2 linked regions of the Danio rerio genome follow. The protein of the gene in region 1 interacts with the protein of each later gene in a pairwise test. Links are inferred from orthologs where the notes say so. Each region holds a gene or a part of one and is shown in the gene's direction. Other genes may lie near its edges.

Region 1 (6,475 bases):
ATCAATAGACTAATATAAAAAAAAAACTTTAAAAAAACAGCAGGTCGGTAATATGGGAATATTTTGGTTTTAAAGTCACATACACCTAACTACATCAGGTCATTTGTAAAAGAGCTGTCACAGAACTGTTGCCACAGCATGAAGAAATACAACATTCAGCACCTAAAAAAGCCCAACAGGCGCCTATATGAGGAGTGTTTTGCTAAAAAGTTAACTAATTATATTGCCAGTGACACTCAATCTAGTTACTAGAAAATTTCAATTTTAGAGTTGTTTGCTAATGTAAGGTGATATCTTTTCAGTTCCACTCGCTGCATTTTAGCAGATAGAAGCTACAATACAGATTGTTGAGCTGAAGCTTGACTACAAAATTAAATCGCAAATCAAATCGAAATCACAATATCTGTTCAAAAAAACGCAATTAGATATTTTCCCCAAATCGCACAGCCCTATTATAGGTTCATAATAACTGCCTTATCAATGCAGTGTATGTTTTGCATTCGCAAGATATGTTTTCACAGTGGTTAAATTACTATTATGATATTATGGTGGAGAATAAAATGCATAAATTACATTCTTCAGATGAATGATTTCATATAAAGCACAACTAACATTAAAATAAGACAAAAAATCTAAAAGATATTTCATAGTTTGAGAACAATGTCATTATCACAATATCAGTCCATTTGTGGTAATCTTAATATTGCTCTGCTCTCTTTCTCTCCTTTTTCTTTATAAATTGCGCACATCATCTTCCAGTCTCTCCAGTTTTTATTGGACACATGCAAGATTCTGGTTATTGGAGCCGGTGGACTTGGATGTGAGCTGCTCAAAGATCTGGTAATGTTGTTTCCTGTTTGATCTTGTGCTGGAATAACAATGCAATATATTTGACACAATCGATCCTCAAAGAGGCTAAATGTGTTTTTTTTTTTTTATATCGCTACAATGTCATCAATCAGGCTTTGTCAGGTTTTCGACATATTCATGTAGTGGACATGGACACCATTGACGTTTCTAACCTCAACAGACAGTTCCTCTTCAGGTTAGTCTGCGGACAGCTGTCTTTTTGAACCCTTTGTCGTTCTGATTTTAATCATCTAAACAGCCTGCTCTTGTTTCTCTAGGCCAAAAGATGTGGGCCGACCAAAGGCAGAGGTTGCAGCAGACTTCGTAAACGACAGGGTCCCAGGATGCAGTGTTGTCCCGTATCCTTTAAAGTGTATTAACTTAGTTTTGTCTTTTGTTTCAAAATTTAATTTTGATTTTGTTTGTGGGAAGTTTGAAATGCCACTGTACTTTTTTTCTGTGTTCAAAAAGTTAGAGGGCAGTAAGATGATTATATTTTATTTGCAAGAAACTTCCAATATTTTTTGCAATAAAGGATGCATTTAATAATCAATAAATCTATTAAATATGTGTATAATTTTACAAACAGTTTCTTTTATTAAAGGTATGCTTTTTTCTGGGATTTCTATTCATCCTAAAATAATAATAATAAAACATAAAAAATACAGTGCTGGGCAAAGATTAATCACATTAAAAATAAAACACATTAAAAATATTGTTTAGGCGTAATATATGTCAGTGTATTATATATATTTATTATGTATATACAGGGCTTTACATTAACACCTGCCAACCCGCCAAATGCGGGTAGATTTCGGTTGTGGTGAGTTAGACAGCCACTCTCACCAGCCACTTTGGCTGGCTGAAACTCCTTTTTAAATTGCCAGTGCTGGCTCGTCGTCACTAGGTTAGACTGTTAGTTTATGACCGTTTGTCTATATGCGTACAAATGTGATCTTAGAATCCAGAAGCAGCACGACTGACAAAAACAGTTTTTCGCGCGAGCAAAGGAAAGCAGATAAATAACGAATTAGAGGATCACGTACACAGTGAGACAGGCTTTCCTCACTCACTGACGAGGGCTCGTGTCGCGCGCACAGATGATTTGATTTGATGTTTCTTTTGCTTGCTGTTATTTTTGTTAATATAGTTTAATAATCATCCTTTACAATAATATTGCTTAAATATGTTGTTGTATGCACAGTTAACTGGTGATCTGGGATTTTGAGCCAGAACAGACCACTGTGCATAGTTTTAAATGCGTGAGTGTATATATATAAATATATATATATATATATATATATATATATATATATATATATATATATATATATATATATATATATATATATATATATATATATATATATATATATTTCGCGTGGGTTTCTTCCGTGTGCTCCGGTTTCCCCCACAGTCCAAAGACATGCGGTACAGGTGAATTGGGTAGGCTAAATTGTCCGTAATGTATGAGTGTGTGTGTGGATGTTTCCCAGAGATGGGTTGCGGCTGGAAGGGCATCTGCTGCGTAAAAAAAACTTGCTGGATAAGTTGGCGGTTCATTCAGCTGTGGTGACCCTGGATTAATAAAGGGATTAAGCTGACAAGAAAATGAATGAATGAATGAATGAATGTAAATAAATATATATATTTTAAATGTCAGCTGTTTTGTTAAACAAAAAGTGTATGGATCCAGCAGTATTTTGCTTGTTTTGACACATTATTTAAAATTTGTGGCAAGGAAATAATTAGTTTGGAGTGGCCAGTCGAAAAAAAAGGCAAACCATTATTGTGTTGAGCCCTGAAAAGTCCTGTGAAAGAAAACTAATTGCAATGCGCAACTTTTTATGAAAGTAATAACCCATAATCCATAATAACTAAATAACCCATTTGCTAATGCTCATTGAGTAAGCTCATAAACAAAAAAACAGTTAAATGAACAAGAAGTAATTTTAGCATGCCGCAACCCATGCCAAAGTCAAATTTATGCATATAAAATATATTTTCCCATCAGCAAAATTGAAATTGTGGCTAGTGAAAATGGCGAGTGGCTAGTAACGGTGGAAAACTACTAGCCACAATGGCTGGTGATCAAAAAAAGTTAAAGTCAAGCCCTGTGTATATATGATATACACATACATAAAATCAAAACAATACAAACATTTTTTTTTTATTACATATTTAAATTTATATATAATTTGTGCTATATACACTACCGGTCGAAAGTTTGGGGTCAGTACATTTTTTAAATGTTTTAAAATAAGCCTATCTTGCTCACCAATGATTCATTTATTTAATCAGAAATACAATACAAATTGTAAAATGTTATTGCACTACTGTTCAAAAGTAGTTTATCATTTAATCATTTATTCCAGTGATTTTAAAGATAAGATTTCAGCTTCATTACTCTAGTCTTCAGTCACATAATCCTTCAGAAATCACTCTAAGATTAATTAATTAATGTTGTTGTTGTTATTATTATTATTATTAATGGTAATTGTAATAAAAAAATAATGAATGAAATAATAATTTCATTTGAAACTACATACAATAAGAAAGCAGTTATTTAAAATGTTAATAAATGTTTAACAATTTAACTTTTTTTATTTACATTAAATAAATGCCGCCTTGATGAACATAATCATTTTCTTAAAAAAATTAAAAACATGAAAAAAAAAAAAAAAAAAAAAAAAATATATATATATATATATATATATATATATATATATATATATATATATATATATATATATATATATATATATATATATATATATATATATATATATATTGACCGGTAGTTAACATATAAAATTTATATCTAAATATAAATATTTTATCAAATATATCCATGCATGCATGCATGTGCGTATTACATATACATAATAAATAAATATTTACAATACACACAAATATTATGTCAAAACAGTACCGTTATTTTAAATTAGTTAATGTTTGATCAACACTAATAAAATATAATTCACTCTTTTCAACTGATATTAACAAGCATCTTAAGTAACAAGCAGCATATATACAATATAAAAGATGTAACACAAATGTAAAACTGAAGCGTGTAGTAATGATGCTAATTAATCTGCTTTTTCAATAGTGTGAAAGTATGCTTTTTTTTAATTCTAAAATATTTAGTATAAATTGGAATAATACTTGGCAATAATACTGATTTACGCTATTGTTCATCAAATAAATGCAACAGAAGTGAAATTTAAAAAATCTTACTGAGCCCAAACTTCTGAACTTGTAGTTTTTATACTGATTTATACTGTTGTATTTATACTGTTTTACACAGATTTGTACTGTCAAAATATTGTCATTTCCCTTAATACATAATGCAGACATTTTAAGAAAATCCAGGACTTGGATGAGACATTTTACAGGCGTAATCTAACTGTTACACATTTTGTTTTCATTATTTTTGTGTACAGAAATAATGTCCTAAAATCATAAATATATGATACTATTGTTCTGTTATTGTTATTAATAGTATGATGCTTTTTAGGCAGTATTATATTCTTAAATCTTTGTAATTTAACTGTTTTTGCATAGAATTCCACATAGTCGTCTGTGGCCTGGACTCTGTTATCGCCAGAAGATGGATGAACGGCATGCTTGTATGTCTCATAAACATCCAAGAATCTATTAATAGATATGTTTAGATCTAAAATCCATTCATTCATTAATTAAGTAGAGTGTTTCTATTCATTGAGAAGTACATATAGTCTATGCATTTACCTTTGTCAGCTCTCCCTGCTGATTTATGAAGATGGAGTCCTGGACCCCAGCTCTATTATTCCACTAATAGATGGTGGCACAGAGGGCTTCAAGGGCAATGCCCGGGTCATTCTTCCAGGAATGACAGCCTGCATTGATTGCACTCTGGAGCTCTACCCCCCACAGGTGCATTTTGGGATTTTTTGTGTTAAGTTGAAGTTTCAAAGCTTTTTTGTCATGCTCATTTCTGCGCCCTACACAGATCAACTTCCCGATGTGCACTATAGCGTCTATGCCACGGTTACCCGAACATTGTGTTGAATATGTACGCATGCTGCTGTGGCCCAAAGAAAAGCCCTTTGGAGGTACAATATGAGCTGATTGATTGGAATTTTTGGTTGTATTGCTAGCAGGTAATCTACTGTATTTCAGATATGGCTTTTTTGTTCTTCAGATGGTGTGGTTCTAGATGGAGATGACCCAAAGCACATCCAGTGGGTGTATCAGAAATCTTTGGAGAGAGCGGCTGAGTTCAACATCACTGGGGTCACTTACAGACTCACCCAGGGTGAGTGAGATGCCCTGTTCAATGGATCTTCATCAGGGATTTTTAAAAGCATCTCTTTTATTGACTTTAGGGCTGTAATTGTGCACATATTCATAATGAACGATTTTGATACAGGTCTTAGGGGCTGATCACAATGAACATGTTTTTCCGTGCTAAAACACGAGGCGCACCATATTTTCTTCTTTGTTGACGAGAAAAAAGAAGCGCTTTTTGCTAGGCAACAACTGAATCAGCTGTGTATTGTGCGAGAGTGTTGCTGTGATATTGGTATCATTTTAATATTAAATAATACATTTTATTTGTATATATAATATTTGTTAAGTCATACAGCTCCGGATAACTCAAAACAGCAACAGCTAGTCTTTCCTCTTTCTCCAAAAGTTTCCGTAGTCATCTTGACAACACAAACACTGCTGTCACCTCAACAGAAACCCTGCCTCTGCTTTTATTTAATTGTAGAATGAAAAAGACGCGAGTGATGTAGCACACTTTTTTTCCCTCGGAGTTGACTTTTTCAACTGCAAGTGCACAGCACCTAACGGCAAAAATGCAAGGCGCACAGGGCGCATTAGCAGTGTGCAAAACGCTCATGACCGTTAATAAACTATTCTAAAGATTCAACCCTCAGCGCAAAAAATGCATTCTGTGTGATTGGCCACTATAATTCACATAGACATTATACATAAAGTTAAAATATAACTAGTGGGTGGAGGACACTTTAGTTCATTTATCAGGGTTTTCGAGGGACATTTAGGTCCTATCACAGTTCTATTTTTGTACCCCTTCCCCTTGGCCTTTAAAACCGAGTGTGAAGGGGAAGGCGAAAAGTTAGCCCTAAGAATTGGGACAACGCTACAGCACCTGTACACGTCATCATATCTCTTGCTTCTTATGAGATCGATGATCGTGACTGCTGTAGTTATTCCAGTTGCTGTAGTTTTTGGTATTTATCTTCAGGAGATCACTGAAGGCTTATATTATAATATCAAAACTATCTAATGTGGCAATAAGATCGTAACTGTACTGCGCATTTACACTGTGGCCATATTCGTCAATATAAACACACAAAAAACAATAACATTATAGCAGACACCGTAAAAAGCTCATGCGCAACCAATAGACTCTTCTGAAATGGTATTCGTGTATCATCGAGTGTCAGAATGTTGTGGGATTGCTATACAGGAGGTATGATTATGGATTATATATAGTGAAATTTAGCTGGTTTTATATTAGTATTTTTTTAAAGCATGACGGTAAAACATGAACGCGGTTATGAATATATTAAAAGATGTGCTTGTTTGTTGTAAAAATTCATAATAATGAAAAAAT
Region 2 (6,475 bases), on another chromosome or scaffold:
AATGCTGGAAAACCTGTAACTATTGGGTTTCATTGTAGGAAAAGCACTATGGAAGTCAATGGTTACAGGTTTCCAACATTCTTCAAAATATCTGTGTTTAACAGCATCAGTAAAGCTTTGAAACAAGTGAGGTGTGAGTAATTAATGACAGAAGTTTCATTTTTCGGGTGCGTTTAAAGTCACTGTGAAATCAAACTAAAGATTTTAGGTGTAAGCTTCAATATGTTTATAAGTCTTAAGGATATCTACAATCTAGTGCGCTCCAAAACGGTGACAAAACATACATATATTTAGATGTTATAAACAATCAACTCTAGGTTTGTGTCTCTTTCAGCAAAATTAAGTGGCGTCACCTCATACTTTAGTCTCTCATCACCTCTTCTGACCAATCAAATGCTCTCTAGTGTTTAATAAGCCCCGCCCCCTTCAAGATTCTATTGCGGTCGCTGAAATAAGTCACTTTAAAGGGCACCTGATATGCATAAATCACTTTATAAGCAGTTTAAACCCAGTTGTGTGTCAGCAGTGTGTGAATATCTCCAGCCTCTAATGGTCAACATGTATTAATTGTGTTTGTTCTAATCAGACTTGATGAAAACAGTCTGCAGAAACACTTTGATTGACATTCTCCTGTTGTACGTGTCATCAGAGGGGTTAACTAAGCCCCGCCCACTAATGGCCCTCTCATTAGCATAGTACATTAGTCCTGTTTATGTATCTGCCACTATGCAGATTCACAGGTGTCTGTAACTCCGCCCTCTTCTGAAAAGAGCACCATCTCGTTTGCATTTAAAGCGACAGTCTCTGAAATATCTGCACACGTTATGGTGTTTATATGATGCAGAACAGTCAGAATCTTACACCCAGCACCTTTAAAGGAACACTTTTTTTGTACGAAGTATTTCAAAGTGGCTATAAATAGTAATCCTCTACATATAGTCGTTTCTCCTTTTATAAACCCACAGATTTAATCAGATGAAATCAGTCTGTGCTCTCTGTTGAACATGATTTCTGATTCATTATGTCAGATTGAAACACAAAGAGCTTTACAGCGGCGCAGTGCACTCATTACTGTTTAACTCTGAATATCACACATGAAGGTGTTGATAATAGTTCACATATCATCAGATATTATTATATAAATAGAGGACGTGTCTACTGTAGACAGTGTTAATACAGCTCAGTGTTTCCTGCTGGTTCTAATATACGGTATATTCTGCTGTGGGGAAAGAAAGGAAACACTTGAGATAAATCAGATTCTCTGGCTTATAGATTATAGTTTAAGTAAAATTAAAGTTTTGTTTTGTTCTGTAAACTACTGATGACGTTTCTAATACAAGGAAGATATATTCCTGTGGTTTAGAGCCTTTTATTTTCAAAAAAACTCAAACAAAATATACATGAAAAAATGTTTTTAAAATATGATCTAATAAACAAAATGATGAAAATAGAATAATAAAAATAAAACCAAATGAAGAAGAATGAAGTGGCTCAGTGTGTGTGTGTGTGTGTGTTTCAGGTGGTCCGCTAGACCTGATGTCCAGGCGTGTTGTGGCTGCAGGGACGCGTGAGATCGCTGAATATGTGGTCAAACAGCTGCAGCCCATAAACTACGGCAGAGATGACCTCTGACTGACCTCTGAGTGACCTCCGACCCCAACCTGAGCCTTTTACCTCAGAACACACACACACACACAATCCTGCCACGCCACTACTGCAATGTCCACACACACACACACAGACACTTACTTGCACATACACTTTCTCTCTCTCTCCCTCTCTCTCACACACACACACACACACACACATGTATACAAACACACTCTCTTATACACACACACTTTCTCACTCGCATATAAACACACACAGTAGTCACACACATGTAAACTCTCGCATACTAACACCTACACCCACACTCTCTCTCATACACACACACACACACTTTTTTACAGACACACACACACTCTCACATACATACATACATGCACTTTCTCTTTCACACATGCACACTCTCTCTCTTGCTCTCTCATAACCACACAGAAGCACGCATACACTCACACGTGCACACACATATACACACTCTCTCTCACGCACATACACAATTTCTCTTTTACACAGACACACACAAAAACAAACAAACAGAAACTGACTATACACACACGCACATACACACACTTTCTTTTTCACACACACACACACACACACACCCTCTGTCTCTCCCTCTCTCATACTAACTCTCACACACACACACACACACACACACACACTTCACTGTATGTTCCGCTGCTCCTTGAATCTGCTCATGGTCTCGGTTATTCACAGCCAGACAGAATCTGCAGATGTGATTTAATAATTATAAAGACTGACGAGGAGAGACTCAATAACAGCAAACAATCACCTCTGAACTAATGTCACGTTCACAATGCACATACAGTTACAGCCACTCGTTTAGTAGAGAGAGCTACAGCAGCGCTCCTATATGATATACACTCACCGGCCACTTTATTAGGTACAGCTGTCTAACTGCTCATTAACAGCAACAATTCTAATCAGCCAATCACATGGCAGCAGCTCACTGCATTTAGGCATGTAGACATGGTCAAGAGGATCTGCTGCAGGTCAAAGTGAGCATCAGAATGAGGAAGAAAGGGGATTTAAGAGACTCTGAACGTGGCATGGTTGTTGCTGCCAGACGGGCTGCTCTGAGTATTTCAGAAACTGCTGATCTACTGGGATTTTCACACACAACCATCTCTAGGGTTTACAGAGAATGCTTAGACAAAGAGGAAATATCCAGTGAGCGGCAGATCTGTGGGCGCAAATGCCTTGTTGATGAGGCCAGAGGTCAGAGGAGAATGGCCAGACTGGTTCCAGCTAATAGAAAGGCAACAGTAACTCAAATAAGCACTCGATACAACCGAGCTCTGCAGAAGAGCATCTCTGAACACACAACACGGCCAACCTTGAGGCGGATGGGCTACAGCAGCAGAAGAGCACACCGGGTGCCGCTCCTGTCAGCTAAGAACAGGAAACTGAGGCTACAATTCACACAGACTCACCAAAACTGGACAATAGAAGATTGGAGAAACGTTGCTGCTCTGATGAGTCTCCATTTCTGCTGACACATTCAGATGCTCGACTCAGACAACATGAAAGCATGGATCATCCTGCCTTGTATCAGCGGTTCAGGCTGGTTGTGGTGGTGTAATGGTGTGGGGGAGATTTTCTTTGGCTCCATTAGTACCAATTGAGCATCAACGCCACAGCCTACCTGAGTATTGCTGCTGACCATGTCCATCCCTTTATGAGCACAGTGTCTCCATCTTCTGATGGCTACTTCCAGCAGGATAACGCAGCATGTCATAAAGCTCAATCATCTCAGACTGCTGAACATGACGATGAGTTCACTGTACTCAAATGGCCTCCACAGTCACCAGAGCTCAATCCAATAAAGCAGCTCTGAGATGTGGTTGGGATTGGCATCATGGATGTGCAGCCGACAAATCTGCAGCAACTGTGTGATGCTATCATGACAACATGGAGCAAAATCTCTGCCATGAAGGATTAAGGGAGTTCTGAAGGCAAAAGGGGTCCAACCCGGTACTAGTGAGGTGTACCTAATAAAGTGGCCGGTGAGTGAAAGACAGAATATTACTTAACAAATAGTTTTGTAAACAAATCTTTAAATGTTAGCTTATTATTATATAATATATAGTACAATAATTTAATTTAAAACAGACTGAATAAATATATGCATTTACACACTTTACATCAGTAAAGAAAGGAGAGTTTGAGTCACTCTATTATATTCCAGTATTATATTCCTCAGGAATGACTTTCTCTGTGAGGAAAGTTGTTTTTACACTGAGATAACCCAGTATTACCTGTGTGTTCTGTAATCAAACACTGATAGAAATGTCATATTTACCCCTCAGACTTACTGTGATGAATGAGGGTCTCACGGTGGCGCAGTGGGTAGCACAATCACCTCACAGCAAGAAGGTCACTGGTTTGAGGCTTGGCTGGGTCAGTTGGTGTTTCTGTGTGGAGTTTGCATGTTCTCCCCGTGTTGGTGTGGGTTTCCTCCAGGTGCTCCGGTTTCCCCCACAGTCATGCAAACTCCACACAGAAACACAGACTGACCCAGCCGGGACTCGAACTATCGACCTTCTTGCTGTGAGGCCAGTGTTTGCCATGTGTCGCCCCCTATTAAATATAATAAAACACATATTGAATTTAAATCTATTGGAAATGAATATATGCAGATGTAGGATGCTGAATTACACACAGAGCAGTGCAGTGATGTATACATCTGGTTAATATGTACAGTACATGTTGATCCTGATCATTTCTCACAGAAGTTGTTTAACCGAAAGCACCTAATAACTCATAAATCCATGATCTTGGCGTTATCACACACACACACACACACACACACACACACACACACACACACACACACACACACACACACACACTGACTGCAGTTTTAACCTGTATTTGACACTGTTATGTTTTTCTAATGCTGACTGACTGACGCACTGTAAGGAACACATGGAGAGGAGAGTTTTCACTGCCAGTTTTTATAGTTTCTCCTGCTGTGTTGAACTTCTCTCTTTAATCCCTGTGTTTGTATCAGGGCGGAAATCCTCTGGTGTGAAATATTAAAGCGGCATAAACACTCAAAGCAGCGCTGGACTGGCCTCATTCAGCTTATTTAATATTCTGTACTGTCAAGGGCAAAATTATTTGCCCTCCTGTGAAACTTATTTCATTTTAATTATTTCCCAAATGATGTTGAACAGATTCAGGAGTTGATGACAGTGTTTCCTCTAATGTTTGTTCTTCTGGAGAAAGTCTTGTTTGTTTAATTTGGGCTAGAATAAAAGCAGTTCTTAATAGTTTTAAAGCCATTTTAAGGTCAATATTATTCACCCCTTCAGCAATATTAGTGTTGGATTGTCTCCAGAACAAACCACTGTTATACAATGACTTGCCTAATTACCCTAACTTTACCCTAATTACCCTAGTGAAGCCTTTACATGTCACTTTAAGCTGAATACTAGTGTCTTGAAGAATATCTAGTCTAATATTACGTGCTGTCACCTCTGTTAAACAGAAATTGGGAGATAATTCAAATTAAAATTAATTCAAATTTGACTAGAGGGCTAATAATTCTGATGTGTGTGTGTGTGTGTGTGTGTGTGTGTGTGTGTGTGTGTGTGTGTGTGTGTGTGTGTGTGTGTGTAATGCATGTTTCTTAGGCTCAAGGTGCTATGAAATTAAAAAGAATAAGGTAAGAAGGAATATAAATAATAGATTACAGCACATAACAGCACTATCCTTCGCTTTATTCTTCATCAGGGCTCATACAAATACATATAGTCAGCAACCTTCTTCAGTGTGTCAAAACCTTTCATCAGAGTTCATTTAGTCATTTTCTTTTCGGCTTGGCCCCTTTATTAATCAGGGGTTACCATAGTGGAATGAACCTCCAACTATCCAACATATGTTTTATGCGGCGGATGCCCTTCCAGCTGCAACCCATCTCTGGGAAACTTTCATCAGAGTTGTCCTTAAATTAAATGTACCTGTTCTTGTCGTATCCTTAGGATAGATTTTACTACTTTTATTATAATCAATCCATTTCATATGTAAACTACTGTATATGTAAACAATCCCCGCAGAAAAACAAGAGTAGGCTTATAACATTTAACTCCGAAATACTTTGGATAAAAGCGTCTGCTAAATGACTAAATGTAAATGAAATGACCATTACATTTCATAAATGATTGCAAAGAAACTTAAAATAGCTGAATTACATGTTAAAACTAAAGTATTTCTTTGGTAACACAATCTTTAATTTATTTACGTCTTGGAAAAACATGTAGACATTAAATCCAAGTATGTAAAATGACTAAAATCACATTTAATCCAACAGATAAGATTGAAGGGTGAAATATTATTAGATATTTAGGTGGGCAGCAGGTGGCGCTGCAGCCGCTTTTATAATATTTGCTCAAACGTTACTCTTGAATATATGCAAAACTACATTACTTGAGTTTTGTTATAACAAAAATTAAAAGTATAAATAACAGCCTTTGAAAAAAATAAGTGAAAATAAACAAAATAATTATGTATTTTATTGTTCGTTTTTACGTATCTTTTTGTTTAAAGTAATTTAGTTTTTTGGTTGCAAATGAAATATGTTTTATTAATTGTTGTGACGCCAAGTGACAACATGCTATTTTTTTTTAACAAGAAACAACTGTTCATTGACATACAAGAATTTCACGGGAACATGATTTTTCCATTTACATTTTTTTTATTAAATATATTTTACAATATTAGTATATGTGCTAAAAAAATCATATCAAGTAAAAACTAAATTCGTTTAAATATATTCATATTCATATATATATATATATATTCATATATATAGCCTACAGATAATATTTTTTCAATATCTCTTGGA

The links.
Region 2: the proteins of uba3 (region 1) and impa2 interact in binary tests that used the Homo sapiens proteins (3 or more experiments, as listed by UniProt). The two-hybrid records come from large-scale screens. The link is inferred for Danio rerio from reciprocal best matches to the Homo sapiens genes UBA3 and IMPA2.

Annotation. Positions count from the first base shown.
Region 1 is NC_133186.1:19,926,003-19,932,477, reverse strand, and holds part of uba3 (NEDD8-activating enzyme E1 catalytic subunit), read left to right. Parts: intron 1-759; coding exon 760-840; intron 841-962; coding exon 963-1,045; intron 1,046-1,127; coding exon 1,128-1,208; intron 1,209-4,202; coding exon 4,203-4,246; intron 4,247-4,413; coding exon 4,414-4,478; intron 4,479-4,608; coding exon 4,609-4,764; intron 4,765-4,840; coding exon 4,841-4,943; intron 4,944-5,032; coding exon 5,033-5,146; intron 5,147-6,475. UniProt on the Homo sapiens protein: Catalytic subunit of the dimeric UBA3-NAE1 E1 enzyme. E1 activates NEDD8 by first adenylating its C-terminal glycine residue with ATP, thereafter linking this residue to the side chain of the catalytic cysteine, yielding a NEDD8-UBA3 thioester and free AMP.
Region 2 is NC_133199.1:885,896-892,370, forward strand, and holds the end of impa2 (inositol monophosphatase 2), read left to right. Parts: intron 1-1,519; coding exon 1,520-1,632; 3' UTR 1,633-4,687; downstream 4,688-6,475. UniProt on the Homo sapiens protein: Phosphatase that can use myo-inositol monophosphates, myo-inositol 1,4-diphosphate, scyllo-inositol-1,4-diphosphate, glucose-1-phosphate, beta-glycerophosphate and 2'-AMP as substrates in vitro.